3 linked regions of the Daphnia pulex genome follow. The main gene of each other region encodes a partner of the protein of the gene in region 2 in a complex. Links are inferred from orthologs where the notes say so. Each region holds a gene or a part of one and is shown on either strand. Other genes may lie near its edges.

What was found.
Region 1: UDP-N-acetylglucosamine--peptide N-acetylglucosaminyltransferase 110 kDa subunit-like (region 2) and KAT8 regulatory NSL complex subunit 2-like share a complex: the UniProt entries of both Homo sapiens proteins name them as parts of the NSL complex. The link is inferred for Daphnia pulex from reciprocal best matches to the Homo sapiens genes OGT and KANSL2.
Region 3: the proteins of UDP-N-acetylglucosamine--peptide N-acetylglucosaminyltransferase 110 kDa subunit-like (region 2) and TGF-beta-activated kinase 1 and MAP3K7-binding protein 1-like are in contact, whole or in part, in a crystal structure (PDB 4AY6), measured with the Homo sapiens proteins. The link is inferred for Daphnia pulex from reciprocal best matches to the Homo sapiens genes OGT and TAB1. Residues at the interface, in NP_858058.1 of Homo sapiens: Asp441, His506, His508, His509, Asn567, His568, Pro569, Gly641, Tyr642, Thr643, Lys644, Ala646, Gln849, Phe878, Pro904, Val905, Ala906, Pro907; in NP_006107.1 of Homo sapiens: Pro389, Val390, Val392, Pro393, Tyr394, Ser396, Ala397, Gln398, Ser399.

Annotation. Positions count from the first base shown.
Region 1 is NC_060024.1:8,826,021-8,832,693, forward strand, and holds KAT8 regulatory NSL complex subunit 2-like, read left to right. Parts: upstream 1-2,586; 5' UTR 2,587-2,726; coding exon 2,727-2,956; intron 2,957-3,019; coding exon 3,020-3,331; intron 3,332-3,397; coding exon 3,398-3,561; intron 3,562-3,627; coding exon 3,628-3,761; intron 3,762-3,822; coding exon 3,823-3,945; intron 3,946-4,006; coding exon 4,007-4,144; intron 4,145-4,216; coding exon 4,217-4,315; 3' UTR 4,316-4,472; downstream 4,473-6,673. Other genes in the region: uncharacterized protein LOC124199515, read left to right, coding at 1,035-1,384, 1,533-1,654, 1,727-1,833, 1,903-2,035, 2,116-2,171; cyclin-dependent kinase 2-like, read right to left, coding at 4,513-4,608, 4,682-4,888, 4,948-5,268, 5,329-5,476, 5,682-5,809. UniProt on the Homo sapiens protein: Non-catalytic component of the NSL histone acetyltransferase complex, a multiprotein complex that mediates histone H4 acetylation at 'Lys-5'- and 'Lys-8' (H4K5ac and H4K8ac) at transcription start sites and promotes transcription initiation.
Region 2 is NC_060021.1:543,887-550,716, reverse strand, and holds the start of UDP-N-acetylglucosamine--peptide N-acetylglucosaminyltransferase 110 kDa subunit-like, read right to left. Parts: upstream 4,224-6,830; 5' UTR 4,077-4,223; coding exon 4,004-4,076; intron 3,773-4,003; coding exon 3,622-3,772; intron 3,564-3,621; coding exon 3,541-3,563; intron 3,470-3,540; coding exon 3,440-3,469; intron 3,375-3,439; coding exon 3,184-3,374; intron 3,124-3,183; coding exon 3,055-3,123; intron 2,251-3,054; coding exon 2,190-2,250; intron 2,112-2,189; coding exon 2,025-2,111; intron 1,959-2,024; coding exon 1,910-1,958; intron 1,264-1,909; exon of another isoform or gene 997-1,263; coding exon of another isoform or gene 857-996; intron 440-856; coding exon 352-439; intron 271-351; coding exon 204-270; intron 141-203; coding exon 94-140; intron 1-93. Other genes in the region: F-box/WD repeat-containing protein 11-like, read left to right, coding at 5,183-5,216, 5,282-5,421, 5,498-5,629, 5,689-5,877, 5,960-6,103, 6,175-6,300, 6,365-6,681, 6,749-6,817. UniProt on the Homo sapiens protein: Catalyzes the transfer of a single N-acetylglucosamine from UDP-GlcNAc to a serine or threonine residue in cytoplasmic and nuclear proteins resulting in their modification with a beta-linked N-acetylglucosamine (O-GlcNAc).
Region 3 is NC_060020.1:5,656,645-5,663,474, forward strand, and holds TGF-beta-activated kinase 1 and MAP3K7-binding protein 1-like, read right to left. Parts: upstream 3,537-6,830; 5' UTR 3,371-3,536; coding exon 3,307-3,370; intron 3,244-3,306; coding exon 2,914-3,243; intron 2,850-2,913; coding exon 2,736-2,849; intron 2,662-2,735; coding exon 2,497-2,661; intron 2,434-2,496; coding exon 2,274-2,433; intron 2,199-2,273; coding exon 2,015-2,198; intron 1,952-2,014; coding exon 1,550-1,951; 3' UTR 1,478-1,549; downstream 1-1,477. Other genes in the region: uncharacterized protein LOC124192704, read left to right, coding at 6,603-6,631. UniProt on the Homo sapiens protein: Key adapter protein that plays an essential role in JNK and NF-kappa-B activation and proinflammatory cytokines production in response to stimulation with TLRs and cytokines.

The sequences.
Region 1 (6,673 bases), on a different chromosome or scaffold from region 2:
TTTTTTTTAATTTCTCCTTTCCTTCATTTGCCTCTGTGTGTTATACATATGCATATAATAACTATTAAAAATATCGCGCGTAATTTGTTTCATTTTTGTGAGAAAAATTGTTGGTTCATTTTTTTTTCTGGGAAAAATTTAATTTTTTCGGAATTGTTTCAACCCACACAATTGAGGAAACGAAATCAAGGGGAAAAAAAACCAGTATACATAATTAATAACGTTTTTAATTATCATGAAATCAATCTTTCTACTCTTTCTTCATGGCTTTCGATGTTTTGCCACGTGATGTAATTCATTAACTATCAGCGTGTGTGTGTGTGTGTAATCTCCAATTTTGTGTTTGAGTGTGAATTTGTAAGAAAAATTTCAAAAAAAAAAAAACCTGTTGTACTAAAAAAAAATATTATATATTCATCAGCTGACTGTGGGCTAGCTTTAAAAAAATCTATATAAAAACTATTAAAAAAAAATTGTTACAAACAAAACTGATGTACCAGAGCGTTCGTGTTCCTTTTGTTTTCTAAAAAAAAAAAATTGTAGTTTTTCAACAACAAGAAAAAACCGGTTCTCTCATCACACACACACACAAAATCTGCTTTTTTTATTTTTTTTTTCTTCTCCAAAAATCTCGTGTGAAAATTTAAAAAATGACTTTTTTTTTTATTTGGAAAAGAGGAAAATGATTTTGATTGTTCACGATTTAACCCTCTCTCCTTATCCTCCTCCTATATATAGAAATGTTTAAATTTTTTTTTTCTATTGTATTTTTTACCGGGGTGATGATATATGATGTTCGTCTGGTTGATATACCAATACAAAACAAAAAAAAGTTGTTTGACAGAAAATTAAAACAAAAAAAGAAAACTTGTTTTTATTGATTCAATTAAAAAATTTTAGAGGCTCCACATGAATAAGATTTAGCCGAGGGCTGAATTTCTCCCACCCTGCTATTTTTAATCATTTATCGGCTGCTATAAAGAGAGATAGGTGAAAAGGTGCACACATCGTGACAAGTTGTTGTGCAGGTGATCATGTCGCTTTACCTCATCCTGGCAGCCTGCTGGTTGTTGCTATCAGATCTCCAAGGATTGTCGTCGAAGGAATCCTGTTTGGGTGGCCGATCGCTGCGAGGATTGATTGAATTACCATCCCGGCATTATAATCACGACAGCAACAATATTACCACAGTTTCGTGTTGCGACGACCCAGTCGTCTGTCATGGCGGATTGGCCCTGAGAAATGAACAAGTCGAGGCTTCGTTGATTATCAACCAGCAGCCCCTTGGCCATTTCGACCTTCAACACCAATACGCCCAGCAACTTGTTCAATCGAACGACCGTGATGCAGCAGCAGCAGCAGCTCTGCAGCAACGCCATAAAAGGTAAACCTTTTTTTACCGCGTTTTCTCGGTGTGCACCTATAAATGTATATATACACGCCTTTTTTAAAAAACATTTGACTTTGTGTGGCACAAGAAACATTTATCCCCGCTTTTATTTTTATGGATTTTTATTATTATTTTTTAAAAGATCTGTTATTAATGGCGGACGCTGCGCTGGAAATAAAATGGCATGTCTGCCCATTCAAGTTCGTTGCTGCCCTGCCAACATGTCCGTATTTTTCCCCATTTCAGCTATTTCGGCCTTGACGGGTATATATCTCGGTTCAATTATTCTTATTTCATGCTGTAAAAAGAAAGAAAAAACACACGACTGATTTTCAGGGGAGCGAGTCCACGTGATTCAACTGCCGCCATTAATTTTGCAGCCCGTAATTTATGGCCGTTGTGAAACAGAGCAGAGCTCCATTTTCGACGCCGAATGCCAACAGGTTGATAAATGATAGGACGCCAATTGATGTGGGCATATTTCTATTGATCATTTATTATTTAAAAAATAGGAATTGACACCGGAAATGATGCACGTCGGTCGAGTCGATCCCGAAACCAGCGACTTGGAATTGTCCAGAGAACCGGTCATGGTGGAAAGTGGCTGCTCGTGTCGCTTCAATCGCCAGCCTCTTGACATTATCGGTCAGTCTAAAACATTTGATGTTGATCACATCGTTTTTTTTACCGTTTGAAAAAAAAATAAAACGTGATTATTTTAACAGATGGCATAGTCATGGACGAAACGATGACTTCATTCATAGATCTCTGGAGCGACTGAATTACAATTTTGAACTTTCACGTTTTTTGTTGTTTGTCGTTTATTATTGGGGAGAGAGAGAAAATAGACTATTTTGTTATGTTTCCGATTTCTTTTTCCGTGTAGCATTATTTATTAATACGACGTGAAAGTCGGTCAGCGTCGCGCATTGTTATCAGCTCGAGTGTGAGAGTGACCGCAAAAATAAAAACAGCTGGGAGAGAAAGCAGATCCACGTCGTTTGTCTAGATTGTTTTTTAATGGCGGGTTACCAGGGTTCGGGAACAAAAAGGCCGTTTCTTTACACAATATAAAATATAATACGTGTCACGTCCTCAATCCGTTAAAAAACCGTAACCGTTTACGACCAGCGTCAGCCATCTAACGGTCAACTAATGAAACTCGTGATCACGTGCGCAGAACAAATTGTCAGGAGTAGCGCCACTTGTGATTGTGTTTTTCCGCCATCACCAAGGCAGCGTTTCTTTTTATTTCCGTGTGTGTGTTGTTGATTGCATCATCTTAGATCTCATTAACACTACTACTCTCCAACGTGGTGTTTTTATTGAATATATTATGGCTTTGTACGGCAATCAGGGACCATCGTCTTCCCAATACTACAATCCAAGTCAACCAACATGTCACAACACACTGTACAATTGCTCTCAACCGTGCGTTGAAGGCTTCTCTTATTGCCTCGATCACATTTCGGAAGATCGAAATGCTCCCTACAGATCGTGCACTTTTGTTTTCTCAAATGGTAAAAGATGTGCCACCAATGTTCTCAAGGGTGAAAGGAGAGACGGGTATGAAAGTGAAGTTTGTGGTTTTCTGTCACATGTTTGATGCTAATCGTTGATGTTGTTTAGGTTGTGCCAGGATCACGCCAAGAGATCGGCCCTGTGCAAAATGAAAACACTCAGGAAGAGGCAGCCCCCAGAATCCCTTGAAACTCTCATAGATGATCTGCAGCACTACAGTGAAGCTGGAAATGAAGAGAAGGCCACTGGAACGCTCAGTTTAATCGAAAAGCTGTCCCTGAATGCTTCCACACAAAAACTGCAAGATTATGCAAGTGAATCAGATAGTGAAGATGAACTACCAACTGCAGAGCAAACCATCAGACAAGAGGATGACTCTGATGCAGAGAGTATTGACAGCGACCAAGATGATCCCTTGAGGTAAAATGCATGTTTTTAATAAGGCCCCAGTCAAATTATCTATAATGACTCATGATTCACTTGCAGGCATGCTGGTGTCTTTACTCCTGAAGAAGTGGTTTTGCTAACCCGCGACAAACTCATCAAATTGCAAGCGCTGTACCTTGACCAATTTAAGCGGTTGCATCACCAATTAAAGTGTGCACGAAGACGTTATCTCAATGGAGTAAAAAGAGAAAAGGAGAACGGAGGTAATAATCCATTCAACTTGATTTGAATTATGTTCCATTCAACTCCTTTTTTTTCGTTTACCAAAGTTGCAAGTGCTCCTTACCCGGATACGCCGTCAGAACGCAGGGCTGTGGCAAAGTTACGAAGTTTACGTCGTTTCCAGCGACATCGAGGCTCTGAGGCATTGCTGCATCATCAATTACAGGAGAAACGCCTCCAAGTAAATTATACTCTTTAACAATTTGTGTGTAATTGATACGAATTCAGTTCCCTCCTATCAGGTCACACAGGGAGTCAATTACAAAGCTCCACCTACCCCCAAGTGTTCCTTCGTCGACTGTGGTATCAAGTGCACAAACCCTGCTGTTCCGCTTACGAAGCATTGCACAAAACACGTTCTCAATGTAAAGATTTTGCCATACCTCAAATTATTCGATTAATTGCTATTGTGATTCATTCGATTAGGATTCGTCGCAAATGTTATTCCGCCCATGTGGGGCTATATTTCACGATAACGAATGCAAGGAACCCGTCATCAATTTCAGCGAGAATACTAGATGTGTCTATCACACAATGATGCCACCAATGATGCTTGTTGAGCAGGTATGTAATTAACCGGATTTTGTTCCAACAAAATAGTTTTTTTTTTCTAAATTATACGTATTATATTTTCAGGACATCTGCGTTGCGTCGCCACTAATTAGCGTCGATGACGAAATAGAGAAGGTGGAAGTGAAAATAGAAGTCGACGACGCTGGACAAACTTGCGGTTAATTGTTTCTATATTTCCCGGGTTACTATTTACAGTTCTCTACACGCTGTAAGGCCATTTCCGTAAACGTTTTGAAACGGTAGAACTTAAATAATAGAACGCTGCTCTGAAAGTTAAAATGAATGGTTGAGAGTGAAATATAAACTTGTGTGAACATAAGCGTAAAATCGTTGGACTGTTGGATAGTTGCTTGGAAAGACTATTCAAAATTGGGCAGTTGAAATCCTGAAAAGTAGCGATGGTGTAAGGCTTGTCTAGCAGATAACCTCTTGTTCGGATCGTATAACATAAGTTTCTGTTTAAGTAAAATTAAAGAATTCATTGGTTTGGTTGCGAACGATAACTTTTTTGTAGAAATGTAAACAAACCATCAGAAGATTGAGGCCATCGCTATCTAATCTTGGAAACATTTCTTCAAAACTGGAACCCGACCATTTGGGGAAAGAAGGCTTAAAATCGGGAAGCTGAGATACTCCTGGCCAGCAGGTCTCGTCAGGTGTCCCCATCGTTCGGAAAATGCGGAAAAGTTGATCAATTTCCGAGTCACCAGGAAACAAGGCAGTACGACCCTTAAGCTAAGGAAATGATTGAATTAATTTTACTTTAAAAAATGTACTGATGAGAAAGCTATTACCATTTCCGCAAAGATACAGCCGATCGACCAGATATCAACAGAGGTAGTGTAGATCTTTGCTCCCAGCAAAACTTCAGGGGCTTTGTACCAAAGAGTAACAACCTCATGTGTGTAGGAGCGTAAAGGGAGACCAAATGCTCTAGCAAGACCAAAATCTGCCAGCTTTAACAGACCATTTTTGTTCACCAAGAGATTCTGTGGTTTCAAGTCCCTGTGAAGTACCCTGTGAGAGTGACAGAAAGCAATACCCTTCAGCATCTGCCAGAGGAAGCTCTTGACTGCTTTGGGTTCCAGACCACATGGCATCGAATCCAACAGTTTCTGCACCAATAAAATTGTGTTAGCTCAGTGAAAATCAAATGTGCAACTTTTAACAACAACCTTCAGATCTTGGTTTAGATATTCAAAGACAAGGTAAATCTTTTTCTCAACATGGACTACATCAAGCAGTTTTACAACATGTGGATGGTCAAGTTCTTTTAAGACAGTAATTTCTCTTATGGCAGTGCTGGGCACTCCTTCTGATTCCCTGTACAACAAAAACGGTTTTGTTATTATGTAGGTTGCACCCCAATGAAAGTAATTGCCATGAGTTGTGGGTGATGTTAACGAGCTGAAAAGTTCAGATAATTGTGTCTGTGATATGTCATGAAAATTAGCACATCACAGATAAAATCATCTGAAATCAAAACTCCCAAAGCATTCTGATGACAAAAACAATGGAATTTACTTACGATTCTAAGCGAATTTTCTTGAGAGCCACAAGTTTGCCTGTTTCAATGTCTTTGGCTTTATAGACTATGCCATATGTTCCTTCACCGATCTTCTCAATCTTCTGAAATTGTTCCATTGCCTCGTGCATTTTGCCCAGCGCCCAGCACAAAGCACATTCGAACTCAAAAATGTGATGTAGACACTGATTACTCTTGATGAGCTGGCTCACTAATGATTAATGAACTGGTTCTCTTCACTTGCGATTTGGGCGACAAAAGGTTTTCCCTTGTTTCCACGCTGCCGTTTCGCGCGTTTTCTTCTCATTCGATCATTCAAGCTTCCCGCTTGGAGGCCAAAAGCTCCGCCTACCGTTTATTTTTATCAATTCACGGTAATTTGACGCAATTATGATCGTTCCTAAAGTTTTTAAAACCAATTTTTTTTGTAAAATTTATTTAATAAATAGTTAATTACATTTACAGTGCAAAAAGTGTAGTATTTATAATTTTGTCTATTTTTACTCATTAGAAGCTAGCAGCATCTAGCGGTCTTGTTAAACAACGACGATTTATTTTTCGTATTTTGCCCTCTTGTCTTATCAACATCCGTGCGGGAGATCTAGTTTCAGTAGTTATACATAGAAATTTTGATTGACGTGTATTTTCAGTCCATTTAAAGTGAATCATTCTCATCTGAAATTATAGCAACGTTTAATTTAATTGAACGTAGTTGAAAACCGTGTAATTCGCCATTCAAGAAAAATAATTGCGCCTTAACGATGCTATTCAGCTTCGTCAGTGTTCCATAATAGATCCCCAGTAATATATAAGAATCTTTATCTGTTGATTTTGTGTGTCAGCTTGTTAAAATAATCTGCGCTGAACATACAGCGTAGCGTGATGAGTGTAGATTCAGGGTATATGGATCAAGCATGTGTGTGGTGTCGTGTGGATATTTTATTGCTTGACGTTGAAGTGTGTATTTTTTGAAGCTCTATGCAACGTGTCAAGTG
Region 2 (6,830 bases):
ACGAAATGTCATTTTACACAACATAGGGACATTTTAAGTTCAAGCAATAAAAACGAAAATGATTCGAATTTTTGGAAACTATCATTTCATTACCTGTACTTGTCCTTTCTCCTTGAGAGCATTAGCGAGGTTACAGTACGCTGAAAAGAAAAACGTAGAAATGTGATAACAGATTTAAGAGTAACGTTTAATATTCAAGTTACCGTCCGGGAAATGCGGTTGCAATTCAATTGCTCGTCGGTAGGTATCAATGGCAAGGTCGATAAGACCCTAAAGTGTACCATAAAGCAGCAAGTAAAAAGAAGCCTTTAGGCATTTACATTTTTTTATCACATTTAAGTTTTCAATTACCTGCTCGTAGTACACACAGGCCATATTTCCGTGAACGACGGCATGGTTAGGACTAAGATTTAGCGCCCTTAAGTATGCTGCAACGGCCCTGCAATAATAAAAAAAAAAAAAAAACCTTAAGACTTATATCCCTTCTACAAATATTTAAACGACAGGGAAGTAAAACCAGCCAAGTAATAAACATTGGCAAAATAAGTCTCCAACACTGGCCAGAGTTTATTTTAAAGCTATTTTTAACATTATTTTAGATGCCCACTGGCTAAAATTGTCAACTCGGTTAGTCTGCCGACGCTTGTGTTGAGACGCGCAGATTCCAGCGCACTTCCTTTGTCCTACCCCTCGTTGTTTCGAGCGAATCAATCGATATCGTGCGTTGAAAGAAGAGATAGCACTACATACTAGATATCCTTCTCTTCACTGTCATCGCAGAAAACAGCAAGGAGGACACTCCTCGTTCGCATGCGAATGTTGTAAACACTATACTGCATCAAATAGATCGACATACCGTTTAAGACGAGAAACCACGCAAACCAAACATCCACTGCGCAGACTACTGTCATTCACTGATTGAGCTAGAGAGTGGTAACGACTTTCATCAGCCGAAATGTTGACAATCGTGTAGATAACCACACACTGGTAGTCCATTTGGATAACGTGGGCATGACCTTTGCCCAACGTTACAGAGTTACTATGAATTCTAAAGGAATACTACACGGGCATCACAAGAAAGAAGACTCTGACTTTGGTCAAACAATTAGTTGACAGGTAAATGTTTTCAACAATAAGTGAACGTGTCTGGAGATGTAAAAAATTTCATGACGAACCTAACGATTCAAGCTAGGCAACTGGTGTCTCGTCAAGGATGCCCAAGCCATTTTTATCCCACCTCCCGTGAGTGGAGCGTAACCGATCGGAATGAGCGTGCGCAGTCCCTTCGATTACTCAACTTTCCCCACATCATCTACGGTAGACTGGTCACCCCGCCCCTTAACACTCTAACTACCACCCTCCTCCTCCCCATTAATAAAAAATAAACTAAAAAATAAAAGCACAACCAGAATTAGCACAAATAATTTGAAAATTTAACACAAAATTAACGCTAAAGTTAAAAAATAATTTTCTGATCGCGAATACGAAACTTGGACATAGCTATCGTTATCATAAATACTATGATCATCATTCAGAATAAAAAACTGGCTGGAGAGTCCTCAATGATAGAAATAAAAAATAAATACGTCGGAGGTGATGTTTGGGTGGGAGAAGGAGAAGGGTCCTACCGAAATGAGGGCACGTTTCCTGTGCATTTTTTTTTTTCGCAAGACAGTGGCAAACCAAGAGAGGAAAATAAAAAAAAAGAAGAGCACATACGAGCCAACTCGAAATGACGCAAGCTACAAACGCACGAGACGAGAAATTTACAATCACCGAAACTAACAACATTCTTAACAACTTTTTTCTCGTCCATAAACAACATCTCTTAAAATATCTATTTCCATCCCTCACACTATTTAACCTATCGATATAAGAACTTCGACATCATAATATTATTAAATCTTACCTGTCGAAAATCCTAGCTTCTTTCAGAACATTGCCCAAGTTTATGTAAGCTGTAAAAAGAAATATGATGGTTAAATGAGGTAAATTCACATTTTCAAATGTTAAAAGTATTTTACCATCAAGAAAGTTGGGGTCCAAAGTGACAGCCTTTTCGAAATGATGAATGGCTAGCCAAATGTCCCCTTGCGCGTTAAACACACATCCTACGTTTCGTGAGAAAACAAACACGCATAGATAATTAGCATTTTACAACTTCTGAATAATTGACTAAAACGCATTACCAAGATTGGACCACGCCACTGCAAAATCACCCCGAGTCTCAATTGCTTTCAAATAGCAAGCCTTTCCACATATGAAGTAAAATACGGATAAAATTATTTTCCCAGTTAAATGTTGAAGAATGTCAAATTATGATTATTAATCAGTGTTTCGAATATTAGTAAGCCCCATATTCTGGGTGGCTTACACTGGAGATTACACTTATCATGGGCAATGCGCTGCTGTTAGCTGACAAGGGTAAAGGGTCGCGCGCGCGCAATCGCAAGGGAGCATGGGTAAGGGATAGCGGCTGGTGCGGCGAATAATTTCGCATGCTATGGGAGCTTGAGCGCGTTTAGAGTTGTTTTCATCGCGGCTGCACTTACCGCCTACCGAAAAGAGCAAGTAGAATCCACCACGAGGTTAGCTTTCTGCATTTAGACGTCTAGCTGGATAGAACCTATGGATATATCCTATGTGGTAGGCAGAAGGTTTAGGAGGAGCATATGAAAAATGGCTCGGAGCAGAAGATGCACATACAAATTTTCGATATGTTGGTTCTCCGTGAAAATCTCGATGAAAATATGCTGAAAACTGAAACTATTAACATAATCGTTGAACAGAAGAATGGATTACTGCAGAATTTTCCACCACATTTCCTATAGATATCAAGAAAGTTTATGGAGTGTCGGGATGAACATATCACAGACATTACGTCCTAAGTCTTTTCCACCTAAAAATTTAAAATTCCACTTTGGGGCCATTATCATGTGATGATTATCAACAATAGTACTACACAATAATAATAATCTGAAGCACATTGTATATGAACATTAAACAAATGAGCTGAGCATCCCATATTTCTGATCAATTACTGGATTTCTTTACCTTGGCCTCATCCAATCTTCCAAGAGCTTTAAGCAAGTTCCCTAGGTCACTACGGACACAGTAAAGATCCTAAAAAGATTGATCCTTAATAAGTAAAGGCACTCAATAAAACAAAAGTAATCAACATACTGGATTATACTGCAATGCTGAGACATATGCTTGGACTGCTCCTTCCATATCTCCAGCAGCAACTAAGGCAGCAGCCAGATTAATATAACCATCTATGAAATCAGGCTTCAGTCTAACTGCATGACGATAATTATCAAGTGCTTCAGCCAATTGACCACGTTCTTTAAAAACATTTCCAAGATTTGAATATGCTGTAAACAGAAGAAAAGTTATAGAAATTGTGCATAAACCAAAAACAAATACAATTTAATACTACCTTCAGCTAATAGTGGATTTTGCTTGATTGCTAGAAGGGAAGAACTTTTAGATTAGTACAAAACTCAGCATTAATTCTGCAAAATATCCTTAATTCCTTACCATATGTAGAAAATTGAGCAGACCTGAAACGAGAATACAATTGTAAACATTGAAATCTGTACAAAATGTGTAAAATATTACTTGTCGTAGCGTCTACATTGGAAGTGTATTGAAGATAGGAGTAGAAGGACTCCAGTGTTTGTTGGATCTTGACGCCACAGCTGCATACAGTGACGTTCAGCATTTTCATAATCACCTGCCTGGTATTCTCTGTGGGCTAATTCAGCCAAACCTTAAGAATGAACAACAAAGTTAGTATATTATCAATGCAAATTTTGAAATAAAATTTTTTGACAGAAATGTTTGGTATGTGTTTATGAATGTATAACTTTTTTGAAAAATTGAAAAAAATAGACGGTAAAAACATCATCCTGTTATCGCGTGTTTGATCTAATCTCTGCCCTTCCAATGTTCCAAAACAAATGGGGCAAGATACTAGAAACTTGCTTTGACATTAACTTACTGAAAGATGAAAGTTGATCAGGTATCTTTAGAACAATACCTCCTGCAATTTGTTGATTTTGAAGTGACTGCATTTTCCTGTGTTAAAGTTTGACACTGATGGGAAGATGGAACAAGTAATGGCTACACGATGAGTCTAGATCGTTTGGAAAAGAGACTCGATAACAATGGAATGACTGCTTCACTGTAAGCAAGTGTATGTGCTGCTCAAAGCCTCAAGTGACTTAGTGCGTTTTTTATGCCATAAACTAATCCAGAGGGCGCATCTCTTTTCTATCTGCCGTGCCCCTGATAAGCAATGTTTGATTGAGCATTTGAGTGGTAAGTAGGAGGCTATTATCGTTCATCAAACTAGTGTTTAGTAATAGTCAATAGAAAAAATTTGAAAAACAATTTTAATAGAAATTAAATTTCCCTCGATTAATTAAACAGCGAACCCTTGATAGGCGAGTCAAGTGGCGCCGCCATCTCATTTTCCACAGCCAATATTATATCAAAGGGTAAATGAATTGATGTAATTGAATAACTAATACATCAGTAAAAATCTCGGCCGTTAATTATAACGACATTATAATAAACAAAAAAACAAAAAAATTACAGCAAAAACACTTATAGTTATAGACCGGTAACGGATGCTGAGTTGCCAAGCTTTGAAACTCTTCCTGTGAAAAAAGGTGGGGAAATTGGGATAGGCGGATGCGGTCTAAAACTAGCTTTGTTGTTTAGCTTATTCAAATTTGTTATATTTATCTAGTTAGATAAATTTATTATTAACTTAGTTACTTTGAGAAGAAAACAATAGGTAATTTCTGAGTGATCTGGGCCCGCGCCGCCGTCCGTCCGCCCGCGCTAAATCAAAGGAGTCTAGATCTAGAAGTTGGCAAAATGGTTAGTTCCAAAACTGAGGATAAGTGAGTTTAATCGTTAAATTTCCCACTTTCGTTTTATCCTCTATTAGTTTAATTAGCTCAATTTCAATATTCCGTATAAATTTTCTTTCTCAGCAGTTTTGCAACTTAGCATTCCGGCTTTCTATCAAAGCAGACGACTTGCATGGTATCACATGTGTGAAAAATTCAAACAACTTGTTTGTGTTAGTTGTGAATTTGTGGTTAGGCTACTGATTTCTTAGTGTAAACAAATTCAGATTCACTCGAATCAGATTTACTCTGTTACAGTTATGATTGAGTGGGACTTGATTGAAAACCTTCATCGTAAGCAATACAGTATCAAAATGGGATTTTCGTATACTTTATTATTTCTTATTATACGTTTCCAGGGCGAGGTCTAGAGCACATATTGGATCAAATTTTTGGATATTTGGATTATTATTGTCTTCGACGGGCTGAGTTGGTATCCGTCGTTTGGCAAGAAGCTTTGTTGGAAGGGAAAATCTGGAAAACATTACTCGGTAGAAATGTAAGTAGGCTTATTATGGCAGTGATTATTATGTTGTATCAAACCATGTTATAATATAATTTTGCTATGTATCCAGATGCGTCTCTTTCCATGCTGGAAGGATATGTTTGTTGCCTTGAAAGGAATGAAGCATAAAAGTTTGGATTTTCAAGATGACTCTGCTGAATACTATCGTAAAATTTGCTGTTTAATTGAAGTTGAATTACAGGTCTAACATTTTATTTTGTCATCTTTTTATCATCTTTATCAAGTTTTCTTTGATAATAGGTGCTTGAATCAAATTGGAAGAAGATGAAATACTCTGAACGCAAAAGTGAATTTGGATGCATTTCCCATAATTTATCAACTTTTTATAATTCAGCAGACTATTATGACTTGAATGGAGATTGGATTGTCAGAGTACAGCCAGATCGCAGAATTGTTATACGAAATAGATGGACCCTTGAAATCGAAGATGTATGTTTCTGATTAAAGACCCATAGAATATGGTATTTGATAGTTTTTTTTAATTTATGTGTTATAATTTTTTATATTTTAGGTTCTTGAAATCCCGATCATGCAAATTCAGTTCAACGAAATTATACCGGTTTTGAAATCCGTTAAAATCAACGACAGCTTCATTGTGGCTTCATTTATTCACCATCCGGAAATATGTGTCTGGGATACGAAAACTAGGGATCTAGTATATTATTTGCAATATAAAATTAATGCTTTTTCATCAAGTTTAATGAAATGTATGCTTTATTTCTCTAGCTTTACGTGATAGATATGGATTCCTGTGGCATTCAAGAAGAAGAAGAAAACGACGAAGAATCATTATATCATTCAGAATGCGGACTGAGTCTATGGAAAAACCTTCTGTTATCCTGTTACACTAGGGTAAAGAAAAGTTATTGCAATTTTGCTTGCTCAAGCTAATTTAATTCAAATTTCCTTCTTAAAGTCATTAATAGGTCTATCTTGGATTCTCACTTTGAGATGCTTATCACCATTCATGGGTGAAGAAGTAGTAATACTACATAGGACAGTCATTGTGGGACCCGGAATTATGTGGGGACTTTTCGTGGACGAAATCTACACCGTAATTTTTTTTTTACACTATCAGTCACTATCAGAAGATGTGACTGTTGAAATTCGGAGTACGACATCTTTTGAAATAAAATCCGTTATCAAGTTAAATTCCAAAGACATCCCTTCTGGCTTCCACTATGCGAACGGATTGGTAGTTACTGGCCCTGGTGACCGGGGAAAATCGATTAGGTAACCACGTTCAAATTCATACATTTTAAAACATTAACCAGAATAATTTGGCCCTTTCTTAAAATAGAATTTGGGATGTAGTTACGGGACAATGTATTGTCAAAATTCCCCATCGTGAAACTCTCGCTTCGATCCGGTATTTTACATTA
Region 3 (6,830 bases), on a different chromosome or scaffold from region 2:
TTGTTCTTTGGGTTTTCGTTTCTTCTTTTTTGTGTGTGGGGGCGGCTGGAGAGTGGAGACGGACGAAAGGAGGAAAAAGAAAATGTTTGTAATAAAACTTTCATTCCGTAAAAATTCTGCCACTGCTGACAGTACTACTTTTTGTTTTCTTCATTGAGCAACCCTTGCGGCTTAACGACGCTAAAGCCACGTCATAAAGTCAATGCCTTTATAACGTAGTGCACAGCAGTACGTCCTCATCCAGGTTGGGGTTATTTTTCTCTCCCTTTATTTGAAAATAATAAAGAGAAAAAAGAAGAAGAAGAAAAAAGAGGACATTGCTGCTATTGAGCTGTTTGAGCGGCTGCCGGAGCACGATCTCACGGTTGAGCCGGAGGGAGTGTTGCGCGGAATCGTGTTTTATTTTTTTATGCAAGGAAAATCTTCTTTCGGGTATTATCAAGCCACACGGTGATGAGTCGCTCACGATAAAGAGAACGAACGCGACAGCGCGATGCGGGTTGATTATTCTTCCGCCCAGACAGCATCGATTCCCTGTCAAAAAGGGAAGATTAAAAAGGCCTGACGTCGTTCCCTTGGTATGAAACTATGAACAGTATGAAATCGTATGGGCCCGAATAGTCACTGACGCTTCTTTCTCTTCTCTAGTTGGAGAAAGGTTATTCGCCAACTATCCACTCACGTCCGTTCGTACGCACGCACAGTCGTCACTCGTCAGATTTGCATGAGATTGCCGACTATGGGGTTTTGATCGGGAATTTTCCATAAATTGATTGCCATCTCGCTTCGTCAGCTTAGACTTTCTCTCTCCACTTTGCCAGTTGAAACGAAATCATTTAGTTTCCTTCAAACTTGTGTAGATGAAGTCTTCTTCAATGAGGTTTATTCATTTCTCGTCGTTGAGTCGTGGAGTATAGAATGTGGTTTGCGTCTTATTGGTCAAATTCCCAGATTCCAGTTGACTGTGGTAGCAGGACGATATGCGGTGTCATTATTAAGGGTATAGCCGCTCGTGTCAAATTCCTGGAAGAAAATGGCATCCTCCGACAGAGCAGCACTAGGAGCTGGTATAAAATCGTCAAACTCGAGGGAGAACGCTGAACGCCGTTCATCCGTAATTCATTTTTCACAAATTATTTATTATTACGAAAGTATTAATAAAAGTCTCTAAGAAATTTATACTGCGGTTTACAAGAATTTGCTTTAGGCGGTCTCAGAATGTGACACGGAAAATGATTACACTGAAAAAGAAATGTCTGGCATTGTTGCAGCAAAAACATTTACTGATTCACTGCTCTCAGAAAATTTAAATCACTCAGTGTGTTCAGACCTCGTGTCGTGTGACGAAGCAAAAAGTGTTTTCCGAAAAGATGTTATCAAATCAATTAGTCCACTGAATTCATAACATTTCTATAATTCCTCGAATCTTCAACTGTGAAAAGACTTCAGCAAACTCGACAGTATTCGCAAATCAAGGTAAATCTTAAGTTAATTTTATTGGGGTAATTTCGCCTGTACATATCAGTATTATAAGCCAAACACTTATAAATTAGTATATCGCATCCTCAGGAATCGTGCCTTCATCTTTTGCTTTTCTGACAGCTTGATAAAAGTTGGTGAAATCCACGTAGGGACCAATCCTCCCATCTTCATCAAGGAGCATATTCTGAGATTGATTTGACTTGATTTGCTCTGAACTCTCTGTTGAAGATGTAATAGAAGCCTCAGTAAGCGTTTCACTAATACTATTGCCAACTGTAGAAGACAGTGTGTTTAGCTGAGTGTCAAATTTCAATCCCATCGTTGAGGAATCATTGCTGTATGCATTGAGGGAAGTATTATAACTACGTAGTGTGCTACTTGCACTCAGTGGAGCAGACAGTTGAAAGTTGAAATTTCGAATCAGTAATGTTATGTCATCTCGTTGACAGCAAGTGACATGATTTGGGTCCTATTTCATGCCAAGAAAATCAGAATTAGCTTTGCCCAAGACAAGAGTAGTAAACTTCCATACTTCCATATAATGATCGTGATGAATACGTGCGATTCGATCGACAACACCTTGAGCTACACCCGTTATAGTGCTTTGGGATCCAAATTGTTCCACAACAATCTGAGCAATTTCTTTGTTAGCCTGTTCGCTATTTGTCGCTTCTTCTAACGCTCCGTACAATCCTTGAGTCGTTAACAGTAAAAACCTTTAATAAAGAGAAAAACAGTAGATGGCTATGGTTGTTACGGAATTAGATAATTGTCGTAGTTTTTTTTTTTACCTGCAAGACTCATCCAGATTAATAGGTCCTATGATTTCAGCATCAGCAATAACAGGTTCCGCTTTAGCTGCACTGAAGAGATCGAAATCTTTGTAGCCTCCTTTAACAGTATAATTTCCCAAGCAACGAGTCGTTAAATGACTTCCTTTTCTCGGCAAATCTGCACAAATCATTTTGAATCAATTAATTATCTGAGATTAAAAAAGAAAAATAATTGAATCACTTTGAAGTTTTTCCACTTCAAGTCCCATATGCGACAGACGGAGCACTTCATCCTCGTTGGTCAAATCATGATCTACCGTTAGCTGCATTACTCTCAAAACTCCTTCTGCGTCGATTTTACATAATAAAGCTCGGCAGTCTCCAACATTAGCGACATACAAGTGACCTATACAAGTGACCAACAAGAATATCATAGAAATGCTTGTAGTATTGAACCACTGAAGCTGTTGTGGTACCAACCATTAAAGATTAACGCAACTGCAGCTGAGGCACTCGCAGACAACCGAACATTAGCAGCTCTTAGTCGATTCACAATATCCGGAAATTGTTGGTATGCATCATATGATTTGATTCCTATAGTAAGATTAGAGTTTTTGTAAAGAAGGTAAATGTCAGGTCATGCTGTATAAGACAATACCTTCAGGTAATTCACATAAAAGATTTGCTCTCTCAGCCAGTAAGTCATCAATTGATTCGAAATAGCTGCGCTCTACTGCTAGGAAAGCTTCATTTAAGACTTCTTTCACAGCTTCTGGGCTGGTTTTATCATTGAGCTGCCCAAGAAGGATTTCTGCAGGCATGCGCTGTGCAGCAAAATCTGCCACAGAAGATCCATCTTTCCCATTGAATACTCCATACAGGAATGTGTGATCATCAATTTTGAAGTGGAAACTTCTATCTTCACATTCACGGGCCTCTCTTCTATAGCCATCTTCTTTATAGATCTGATTTGTTGATAACCCCACACCTGTCAAAAAGAAAGTTAAGACACATTCAATTATCGGACTAAGATTTTGCTTTATTTAAAAACCTGTGTAGAAGCAAACGGGTAGGTCGTCTGTCCAACTTTTAGTTTCAGAAATTTCTGCTGACATTAGAATGGCTAATCAAGGTTTGCAGTATTATGCAGAGTTCATTAAAGCTAAAGTAGGGTAGATATTCTGTTATACTTATCACCACACTTAACACTATCGTCAGTCCTAACAGAAATGTGAAGTACCTAATGTGCTAATGATTAGTGAACGAAGCGTCGTCTTCTGCTAGTTTGTTTACCAAAAGTGGTCTCGCCATCTGCTATTCACATTGAAAACTATCACAAAAATATTTCCCGCCAAGGTTGATTTTTAAAATTCAGCAGTTCGTTTTCGTAGTTCGTCTTTTCTCTTTTGGCAACAGCTAGGTCCCCCGTCAGCTGGAATCTCACTATTTTAGTATTGTGCATTTGTCTTTTTCTTTTTCAATTTTTATGGAAATGGTCATAGTCAACTTATAATAAAAATGACTTGATTAACTCCAAGCTAAAAGAACATTTTTACTAGGAAGATCGAACCTCCATTGTATATTTGATGGATTTGATGTGCTATGCACAATATGCCTTTCTTAAAGCTTTTATGTTCGTTATTGAGCACATTTTTCCTGAATACTGAATTGTTCAACGTTATTGAGAATTGAGATCCCTAAATGTTTAACTGTGTAAACATTATGCTTTAATGAGTAATTCGTATTTCGATTCGAAATTGTTCTATTTTGTAGTCAATTTGAGTTTTGGTTTTATTACATGTTGATGTTATACTTTTTCGTTTTATTACATGTGGTCTTTATCTTTGCCATAATCACTACCGCAGGCAGACGGGCTCTAACTGGGTTTGGTAGGAAGGTGGTTTCAGATTAAAAATTTCTTCTACAGTATTGGCTTGAATTCATTCCCTGTTTCTGTTTGCAGCCAAGAAATTGTTCGATATGTAAGAACGGGAAACCGAGGACCTGAAGGATTCAGTCCACGATTTTCCCTCTACCTCTCTGCTATGCTGACTCATGGCGCCAGTATTGCTCATCACAAACAGTGACATCATGAAATGAATATGGATTGATCATGTGTTCGAAACTTGGATAAGATTGACAGAGGAATATTTTCAAAAAAGCCGACTGTCCTTCAAACGGTTCGAAATTTGTATAAAGTGAGTTTTAAGCGATAATCATTTAATTTAGTATTCATTTTTATATTGGTTGTTGTAGACCCATCCCCAGCAACGACAACCTGCAGAAGGAAAGGCACGTAAAACTTGTCATGCAGTGGTGTAGAGGTTGGGTGAGAACGACACGTGTTACATAACCATTTGGTATTCATTTTGATATTGGTTGTTGTAGGACCCATCCCCAGCAACGTCAAACTGCAGAAGGAAAGGACAGTCACACTCGAAGGTCACGGAGATCATTACGTTTACGTAAAACGTGTCATGCAGTGGTGTAGAGGTTGGGTGAGGACGGACGTTTTGCATCATTATCAAGCAGGTACAACACCCGCAAGGCTTTAGAGGTGAGGGTGAGAAAAAAAATAGTATAAAAGGAGAGAGAAAAACTGAAGGAAAATCAGTCGAGTGAGCATATCCGACACGGCAACAACTGCAGCGCACTCACCATCTGCATTCTTCACCGTATTGCCAGTTCGCAACCATGGGTAAATATTCTGTCTTTACATTGAGTTTTTTATCAATTATATTTTTGTTTTCCATGTGTTAATATGCCTGTTAATGTTTAATAATAATGTTTAAATTTATTTACTGTTTAGTCAACTATGGCGTCGTGCTCCTGTTGGGTGTTGTATCGTTGATGGGTGGGTCGACCATTGGTGTACCGATGTCTCCTTGGTATGGCGCAAACCAAACTGCAACGCCACCGCCTTCCTACATAACTTACGCAACGACCAGTTTCTGCACCGAGGTCTTCAAGTACTACACCACTAAAGCACCGGAGTTTTATACCACAACTTACGCTGCCCGAGTCACTACACTGACGCCCTGAAGTATTACTCTGCCCCGAGTTACTACACCACCAAGGCGACCGATTACTACATGACAACGCATGCTGCCCCATCCTACTACACCGAGGCTCCTAAGTATTACTCTGTTCTCAGCTACTTACTGCACCGACGCTCCTAACTACTTCTCTATTCCCAGCTGCTACACCGAGGCTCCCGCTGATTACTCCACCAAAGTGGTCGAGTACTACACCGAAGCGGCAAAGTACTTCTCTGCCCCGATCAACTCAACCAGAACTGAGGCGGCGAAGTATTACGCAGTCCCGACTTGCCACAAAAAAGCTGCTCTTTCGTGCTACGTTGAACTGAAACACCACACTGATGCTCCAGTCTACTACATCACGATCTACGTTACACCTAGCTACAACACCGCAGCCCCCAAGTACTACACCGAAGAAGCCGCCTATTACACAACCACGTACGCTGCCTGCTATACTACATCGAGGAATTTAAGTATTACCCTGCTCCAAAGTACTACCAAACTGAGGTTCATATGTATTTCACCAGCAATTTCACCTGACCATGTCACCACTACTTATGTTGCTCCGACCTATACACCAAAGTTCTGAAGTATTTCTCTGGATGTGTTGAAAGATTGCTGAAATACAAGTTTGATTGATAAATCACAAGTGCATGTCTCTATTTTCTCCTCAACTTAAACCTTCTTCCTGCTGATAATCGCATGATGTGAGAAAATATTTCTGAATGTGCTATGTAAACTTACAAATAATTGATCTTGCAAAATACAACAATAAAAATTCAAACTCATTTTGTTTTACATTTCAAAAATATTTACTTTTTTTATAATTAAAATATCCAAAGTAAACCAATATTTCTTAAATTCAAAATCCACATTTTCTGCTAAGTCCAGACTTTTATTTTTTGAAAAAAATCTAAAAAATTTCCCCTTACACGAAGTTTTTACAAACTTGAAGAATGCTGACTCATGACATCATGTGGTGTATTGTATTATTAATATAATTATATTGTATTATTAATATTTATAATTTATTATATTATTATAACGTTACGATTCAAATTCAAATGAACACATCAAATTCTGAAATTCATATGATTTACAGTATGGCCGCTAGGTGGCAGTAAAGTCATACCTGTTTCAAGCGTACAAAAAAGAGGAGCGAGTTCGAGGGGAGATAGCGTTCCTTTCAGGCTTTCAGTTTCTACATTCACTGTGCATTCTCGTCAGAGTTAACGTGACGCGTTAGTTTGGCTCTTCGTCTTCAATTTTGGTAATCTAATCTAATCTTTTGTTTCCTCTCTCCCATCTGATGAAATCATTAACTATGTTATTGTTATTGTAAGTGGCATGGCCATTCAAATTTTTGAATAAGTGGCTCAACTCTCATCTTCTCATCTCGGTCTCGTATGAGAGTATCTCGCCAATGACCGTACATGTTTTAACATTCGCAGTAATGGTTTTGTAGTACCAATAGTGACTTTACTTTAAAGTTTAGCCCTTTAGTTATTCATTGAAATTATGTAACTGCTTTTGAATT